Linked DNA regions of Danio rerio. The protein of the gene in region 2 purifies or fractionates together with the protein of the main gene of each other region. This does not show direct contact. Links are inferred from orthologs where the notes say so. Each region holds a gene or a part of one and is shown on either strand. Other genes may lie near its edges. The genes, in order: cop1 and trib2.

What was found.
Region 1: the proteins of trib2 (region 2) and cop1 purify together in Homo sapiens (affinity purification with mass spectrometry; 4 studies listed by BioGRID and IntAct, counting the BioPlex papers as one, with this or other methods). This does not show direct contact. The link is inferred for Danio rerio from reciprocal best matches to the Homo sapiens genes TRIB2 and COP1.

What each region holds. Positions count from the first base shown.
Region 1 is NC_133177.1:38,094,944-38,098,770, forward strand, and holds part of cop1 (E3 ubiquitin-protein ligase COP1), read left to right. Parts: intron 1-954; coding exon 955-1,023; intron 1,024-1,112; coding exon 1,113-1,172; intron 1,173-2,591; coding exon 2,592-2,683; intron 2,684-2,777; coding exon of another isoform or gene 2,778-2,780; coding exon 2,781-2,835; intron 2,836-2,927; coding exon 2,928-3,042; intron 3,043-3,135; coding exon 3,136-3,271; intron 3,272-3,827. UniProt on the Homo sapiens protein: E3 ubiquitin-protein ligase that mediates ubiquitination and subsequent proteasomal degradation of target proteins.
Region 2 is NC_133195.1:48,756,084-48,760,561, forward strand, and holds the start of trib2 (tribbles homolog 2), read right to left. Parts: upstream 2,903-4,478; 5' UTR 2,139-2,902; coding exon 1,869-2,138; intron 1,236-1,868; coding exon 943-1,235; intron 1-942.

The DNA.
Region 1 (3,827 bases), on a different chromosome or scaffold from region 2:
TAATAATAATAATGAGCACGAAGGGATGGCATTAAGTTGGCATTTCGATAAGTGGTCTCACATGGTTTCTCCTACCACAGCAAACTCCTTTTTTTCCTTTTGATATTTAGTGCTAGTTTGTCAGGAAACAGCAATTTTTATTCTATTGAAAGAAATTATGCTTTATTTGCAAATGTTTTATGTGATATTATAGTTTATAAATATGAAAGAACCCCAAAGAAACTGCAACTCTTTAAGTAAATCGTTGAAATAAAGAAACATATCCATTCTAATTTCATTATTTCAGCAATTAATTTAACAACATTTACTGTGTTATTTACTACATATTAGTGCTGACACTAAAGATCAGTCTGCTTCATGCTCTGAACACAGTCTCTGTCATCTGTTAATTTTCTCTATAAATAAATGTATAATTGATTAATTCAAACCAACACGTTCTGTAAGCTCTCAATTAATGATCAAAATGCAAATGAAAACTAATTTAAATTGAATATGTTTAATCTTTAAAGAACTAATATATTTGTTTTAATTTGGCAACATTGTAACCAGTTTAATTCGTTTTGGAACAAAGCAATCGATCTACAGGTCTGAAAGCACATTCAATGCAGCATTGTTTAACTTTTTGGATCTAAGCAAATAATCCCCAAGTGTGAAAGTGCCATCAAAATAAATCAAAACCATTAAAAAGTATTTAGATAATGTATTCATTGTAAAATTGTCAGTAACGTGTGTACTTTTAACTAGTCTTATATGTTCTGAGTTCTGTTTTTAATATATATTGACCAAAATTATTTGGCTTTATGTTTAGGTTATACTTGAAAATTAATTCAAACATTAAATCAAGTTTAATTTATATCCCGGTTGTTTAAAAAAAAAAAAAAAAAAAAGAACAAATTTTTGCATAATGTCATAATATATGAGCCTTACTGACCAATCTCTCATCTCTGTCTGCAGGAATCACAAGCTGCTCAGCGACAGATCTTAATGGAGTTCCTGAAGGAGGCCAGAAGAAATAAAAGAGAGGTTGAGCCTCCACATCTATTTTTAAGAATGTTGAATAATGCACACATGACAGCTTCAGGTCATTAACTTCTCTGTCTTTACTTCAACAGCAACTGGAACAGTTACAAAAAGAACTGAACTTTTTGGAAGAGGATATTAAACGAGTGGAGGTCAGTTTAATATGATGACCCAAAATTGTCAGATAGGAAATGGTGTCATTTGTGTGGTCTAGGAAGGATATTATGCCTCTTTTTAAATGAATATATTTAGGTGCATGATTATACTGTATACTAGGGCTGCATAAAATATAGACATAAAATTAATATCACAATATGACTTGGTGCGATTCACAATGCAGGCACATATCGGTATAAAAGCTTGATGGATTACAATAAATTGATGGATTACAATATTAAAAAAATAAGAAATTAGGATATAAACACACTGAAAGTCTTCATTGAATTATTAACATTTTTTTAAAGATTTATTTTTGACATTTTGCCTTTATTAAGTTGGACAGTAATCAGTCAGAAGGCAAAGTGGGAGAGAGAGGTGTGGCTAGGGTAGGAAAATGTCCTCGAGCTGGGATTCGACATCTAATGCCCTGAAGTGCTTCTACACCATATGTGTACACCATATGTGTAGAAGCTACTAGGCTATTGTGCTGACCAGTGTTATATGATTTAATTTTTCTTTTTACAGCACAGTAATATGTTTAGTATATTTATTTGTTTTTATTTATAAAAAAAATTATTTAGTGTGAGTTTTAACAAAAATGCAATTATAATAATGTTTTAGTCATTATTCCGTTAGTCAAAATATTGTGTATATGGCACATGAAAACATAATATAAGATATACTTACTTAAAAAATATTTTTACTTGCAAATTTCTAGTACATTACATATGTACTTGCTAATACATCCTGTTAAACCTGTACTGTGAAGATAAACCTGTGTTGCCTGAGATTGTCTTATGAAATGTGCTCTAATATTGTATTATTTAGTTCAACAAACAAAATGGCTTATTTGTTATTTAAAAAAAAATTGGAACCATTGTTTTTATTGTTACTTATGTTTTCTATGCAGATTAGTCTCTCAAATACTCTAATGATTTTCCCCTAATTCTAGCTACTCAAGTACTCAAAATGTATTGCAATATTTCTAAGATAGTTATTATTTCTTAATTTTTTTTCCAATATTGTGTGCATTTACTCCCATTAAACAATTTTAGGCAGTAAGACTTTTAAATAAGATATTGAAAGTCTGATATACGCACCAGCATTCTTTATTTAATCAAAGTTTCAAATATATTTTAATGCTTTTTTTTTTGTCTTTGTAATTGCAAAGCCGAATTTCCACCATCTTTACTCCAATCTCTAGTGTTACATGATCTTTACCTAATGCTTATTTTGTGTCTTACTATTTCTAATGTTTAAAGCCATTCAGATTTTCTTCAGGTAGTATATTCAAAAAGACGTCACAACGCAAATGTTTATAGAGTCACGTTTTAAATCACTATGACCCCATGTTTTAGACTGCTGTGCTCAACAGATACATAATACATCTTTTTTTTTTTTCCTTCCTGAAGGAAATGAGTGGTATGTATTCACCCATAAGTGACATGGACTGCAATTCAGACAGTACTGTGCCACAGGTTGAAGCTCCCTCTCCTGCACCCAGGTAAGAAATAAAAACACTAATATGAGATGACAATTAATGACAGCGATGCAATATTTTTTCCCCTGAATAAATTAAATTCCTTTTCTGTCTCCAGCAGTAGCATAATAGACCCTTCGGAATACATTCAGCCTCCTTTTGGTGGAAACTCACAGGTTAATTGAATTAATTTATTCATGATTTCTTCCTGTCTGTTAATTCATGCTGACATTTGTTCACATTTATGTCGTTTCTTTCTTACTTTTAGAGTAAAAGACAAACATGGTACAACAGCACTCTTGCATCACGGCGGAAGAGACTGACGGCACACTTTGAGGATCTGGAACAGTGTTATTTTTCCAATAGGATGTCTCGAATAACGGGTCAGCTGATTCAAAGTTATATATGGACTGTGTATTCATTTTACACATCTGCAATGCTGTTTTATTGAACGCAATCACTCTTCTTGTTCCTAGATGACAGCAGGACTGTTAACCAGCTGGATGATTTCATGGAGTGTCTATCAAAGTTTACCCGTTACAACTCTGTGAGGCCTCTGGCCACCCTCTCTTATGCTAGTGACCTTTATAATGGCTCCAGTATTGTGTCCAGGTAAGGTTTTAAAAGATTGATTAAAGTTAAGACCATGTTGTATGACTTCAGCCTAGTGTAAATCATCATAGCCAGCAGAGGGTAGTATTGTATTACTGAACAACATCCTTTTTTTTTTCTTAGCAAAAGCAGAAAATGACCTGTTTCAAAGCGTTCTTAAATATTTGTTTCTCTAAAGAATTATTTTTTACTTTGTTACTTATAAATTCCATCTTCTTCCATAAAGTATTATCAGTTAGAACATCCATATCTTTTTATTTACTATGCGTTCTAATTAATCAGTCTTTAGGTAAACTGGTTTAAAGTTATAGTTCACCCAAAAATATATATTCTGCCATCATTTATTCACCTTTAACAAGTTTAAGTGTTTGGGTTAGGTTAGGTTTTTTTTTTGTTGAACACAAAGGAAGACGTTCTTCTGTTTGAATAATGTTGGAAACCTGCAACTATTGATTTTTTATAGTATTTGTTTTTTCCACTATTGATATGAATTGTTGCAGGTTTGTGACATTCATTGAAATATATTCTGCGTTCAACAGAAAAAAAAAAAAACTCA
Region 2 (4,478 bases):
AAATAAGCAGTTTTTTATAATTTCATAAGCATATAGTTTATTATTAGGCTATTCATAAGCTATATTAGTAAATACAGCTGATGAAAAAGCAATTATATCGTTTAAAATTTATTTATGCCACTGCAGAAAAAAATACTGTTTTCATTGTAACCGAATGTTTATGTTTATGCAACTATTTATAAAATACTAATTTGGGTGATTGACTGCTGGCGTAATGATGTGGATGATTTAACATTACAGTTAGTAGTTAGGCAGTCAAAAACTTTTCGTTTGTCCTTCTGCAGTTAATGGACTTTCGAAAGATGCTTTCACTTAGCCAGATTCTTTGCGTTTCCACTTATACAAGAAAACAACTTGTTGCAACTGACATTGTCACTGTTCACTCGGGCAATACAACCAGTTTGGTTCACTCCGCAAGCTTATGAGCTGTGTGTCCGCTTAGCACGAGGCTCCACTGAGTGTGTGCGCACACCCAAGAACTGTGAAGGTTTTTATACTTGACGTGCTCGCCGGAAACACAAGCATTTCTCATGTGAGAACTGTGCAGACGAGTATCAAATATCCCAAATTAGAAAAGGTTGGTCAGTTAAATTATGCTACTGTAAGTAATGTTTACTCAGCAATAATTCTCCAGTACCGATAGCACGTGTTAACTTCAGAGATTAACGATACTTCGGTCTTTTATAATGTAGCACTGATACTGATAAAGTACCGAATTTCAGTACCCATCCCTACACACATACTGTTTGTTCAAACTACTCATTTGAAACTGAGACAACACAATTCTTCAGTTTTTTTTGCGACAACTTAATTGTTTTAAGTTCAATCCACTTAAATTGGTAAAAACTAATAAGTTAACTTAATTCCTTAAGGAACTCAGCATTTTTTTAACAGTCTAGTCAGAATATGCATGTTCGGTTTGCAAGCAGACATCTTTATTACCTGTCCTCATTCTTGAAGACGAACTTCCTCAGCTTGAGGTCTCGGAGGACCAGGCCGTTGTCGTGGCAGTGCGCCACAGCTGATGCTATCTGATGGAAAAGTCTGGCAGCCTCTTCCTCTCGCAGCTTCTTGCAAGTGCGAACGAAAGAGTGCATATCGCCATGGCTCCTCTCGAAGAACACGTACGCTCGCGTATCCCCCAGAAGGATCTCCACTATCTGGTTAATGTTCTCATGGGTACCCAGCACGAAGTAAGCAGCCAGTGACTCCTGATATCGACTGATATCAAACACCTGGAGGGTAGAAAGAGAGAGAGAGAGAGGGGCATTTTAAATTAAATTAGAAGCAGTCATCGATTACCCAACATCTCAGGTGGGAGCGCAAAGGTATCAGCCCACCAAAGAGAAGTGGCATCTTTAGAGCTGATGCTTAATTGTGAAACAAAAGAATGGAAATCCATGCGGCACAGAGTCGAGCACCTCTGCTGCATTTTCAAGTCCCCAAAACATACACTGAATTTTGATGTTGCTTAGTAACAGACACCTAAAACAGAGAGATGGGCTAAATATAACAGAAGGGATGGACATGGCAGGCCATTCCCTTTCATCTGAAGATAAGAGGTTTTCACTAATGCCTATTCGGAGTGTCTTGGGTTTTGAAGTCATGCAGACTTGCACGCATGAATGCATGGTTGTATGCACACACACACACACACTTAAAGGGTATTCCCTCATGCTTTTTTTTTTTGCACGTGACTATAACTCATCACTCCATGCATCACAAAAGAAAAGCCATTCATTCTGCTAATGCATGCATGCAATGAGCCAGATGCATGTCATGCTTTGATCCCTATCAATAGCTGATGCAATTGCATGCATGAGTGTTCCCATCCAAAAATATCACGCATAGAGAAGCGAGTTCCTTACCTTGCACACGAGCTCTTCCCCACTGTGCAGGTGGGTGGCTCTGAAAACGTGGTCTCCCTCGATGGGCTCCAACAAAAGGTAATTTCCAATGCAAGAAATGCAGTGCGAGGAGTCCGGGGTCTCGGGGGGGCTGGGAGATCCTAAATTGGGACTGAAACTCTGGCTGGATTCTGTAGTCCTTAGGCAAGAGAGCTCCTCAAAGTCGTGCGCTTTGTGCCTCGATCTCCCATAACGCGAAATGTTAATGGGACTGGATCTCTGTATGTTCATGAGTATAGGAGGAGGTTCGTCCGGATCAGGAGGTTGATTCAGACGGATTCAATGGGAGGTAGAAGCGAATGCCAAAAAAACAAACAAACAGATGCCCTCTATTTAACACTGGGCATGAATGCAAGCGGCGATTCCCCTCGACTTTAATAATGCTGATTGCAATGCCAATGTGGCGTCATTTGAGCACACATGCGATGACGTGCATGCATGAATTGTGACCTCTATGCTTCACGGTGCCCTCAAAGAAAAAAAAAAGAAGCACGGTTTGGTTAACACACGCGAAAATGCATGTAATACGTCGCGATTGTGAATGTAAAGAGTGTGACGTCACAATCGATGCAGCGCAGCAGGTACAAATTAACAATTATTTCCTTCCCTTTTTGTGCATGAAATTTAAAGTGCCAGCCGGGTTCGGATATCCTGAGAGGGCGCTCCGGGTTCATTCATGCGGGCTTCCGAGCGAATCATGTCCGTGTATCTACCTAAATATAGCCAGGGAGATATTTTTTTTGTCCTCCAGGTCGCGAGCCGCCTTTTGTTACGCCTGGGAAGTCGATGTCCTCTCTCCGCGCGAGCACGCAAAACTCCGACGGATGGATATAATTCGGAGACAAAGGCGAGAAGGGACGGCCGACGTTCTCCCCCTGGGCCTATCCCTTGTTTCAGCAACAGGACACCATCATCATCTTACTTACGTGGCTGGAAATCTAGTCCATTAAGCGCGGGTCAGCCACAAACACACACACACGAGCCGCTGACTGACTGACTGCGCTCGCGGGACTGACTGGAGCTCCACGCGCGCGACCAGCCCCCATGACGTCACCCACGAGGCGCGCTCTCATTGGCCGCTCGCTCGGAGCTGACACATCCACAGTCCGCGCGGTCATGTGAGATGATTGTTGTCCTTGGAGTTTTAATTGAAGCAGCCGAAATTATCTGTCTATAGGGTGAATGTAGACAGGGGGAGAGAAGTGTGTTATGATTAAATGTCAGTTGGTTTCTGCAATGAAGCATAAATGACAAAGCTCTGGAGGAAGGGATTGCCAGTTTGGAAGATGAAGACGTTTTTGTATTTGGTAAGCTAATGCAATAAAAAGTTTTAGCAGAAGCAATGATCCTTAGTGGTTCATAAAGTGCAAGAAAAAAAGATACAAAAAAAAAATGAATGTCTATGGTTCCTGATGATTACTGTTGCATAATTACTAGAGGTGGAATGCAGGACACACACACATTTTTTAAACTATGATTTATGTTTATGTGCATATTACAGGAATGCATAGATTATTTTTTTAATCAAGATTAATCTAAATTAGTCTCTGAATTAATCTACATTAATCTAGATTAAAATGGCTCATTTGAATTCGGCCGAAGGCATTCAGAACGTGTGCTACCCAAATAAAAAGTCTTTGAGAAAGGGTTTTCAAGCCAGGTGGCGCATTAGACCAGGGGCTCATCTCCTGTTTCCAAAATGCATCACAATCTGCTTGAGAAACTGTTCTACTGTGATAACTGGTGATGAAAATAAATGATGTCCAATAAGATGTACTTGTGTTTATTAATTCAGTTAAACATGATTTTTGAACTGTAAGCCTTGATAAGCTCGAAACAGCATTTTTTTGATTACCTTAATCAGTCTAAATTCAAGACTGAACAAAACAGAAATGTAATTAAGACATGTGGAGTGTGCATATATTAGTGGCAATGTGGAAGTAAACACTGCAATCAAACTACTACCGTCATGTAGGACTTTGTCATATTTTCCGACAAGTACCACACACATGACTGTCAGTAAAGGACCACACACAAACATCGCGAAATGCGGAAGTATTTTCTTTCCATTTGGCATACGTTATTAAATTCCATAAAACGCTCACCAGTCCTTACTCCTTATTTGCGTCTAATACCCCAGTTTGTCATGACGGCATGAATGAAATGTTCATGAGTTAAAGTGAAACTGCCGAACTGCAGTTAAAGTCAGGTAACGTTATCCTGCTGATTTGATTCAGAAGGGCACTTTTTTGTCAGACGGCTCACCGGTCAGGTATACATCCACGCTAAAATATCAAAGTGAAAGTCACCATAGCTCGCATATAGACCCAGCTCAACTTTGAGAATAGATTAACGGCGATTTTTTTTTTTTATTGCGCAATAAGAGTTTTTCGTTAACGCAGCACGTTAACACCGATAACAGCCCACCACTGTTTTTTTATATATATATATGTCGAAGCAGTGGCGCAGTAGTGCTGTCGCCTCACAGCAAGAAGGTTGCTGGGTCGCTGGTTCGAACCTCGGCTCAGTTGGCGTTTCTGTGAGGAGTTTGCACGTTCTCCCTGCCTTCGC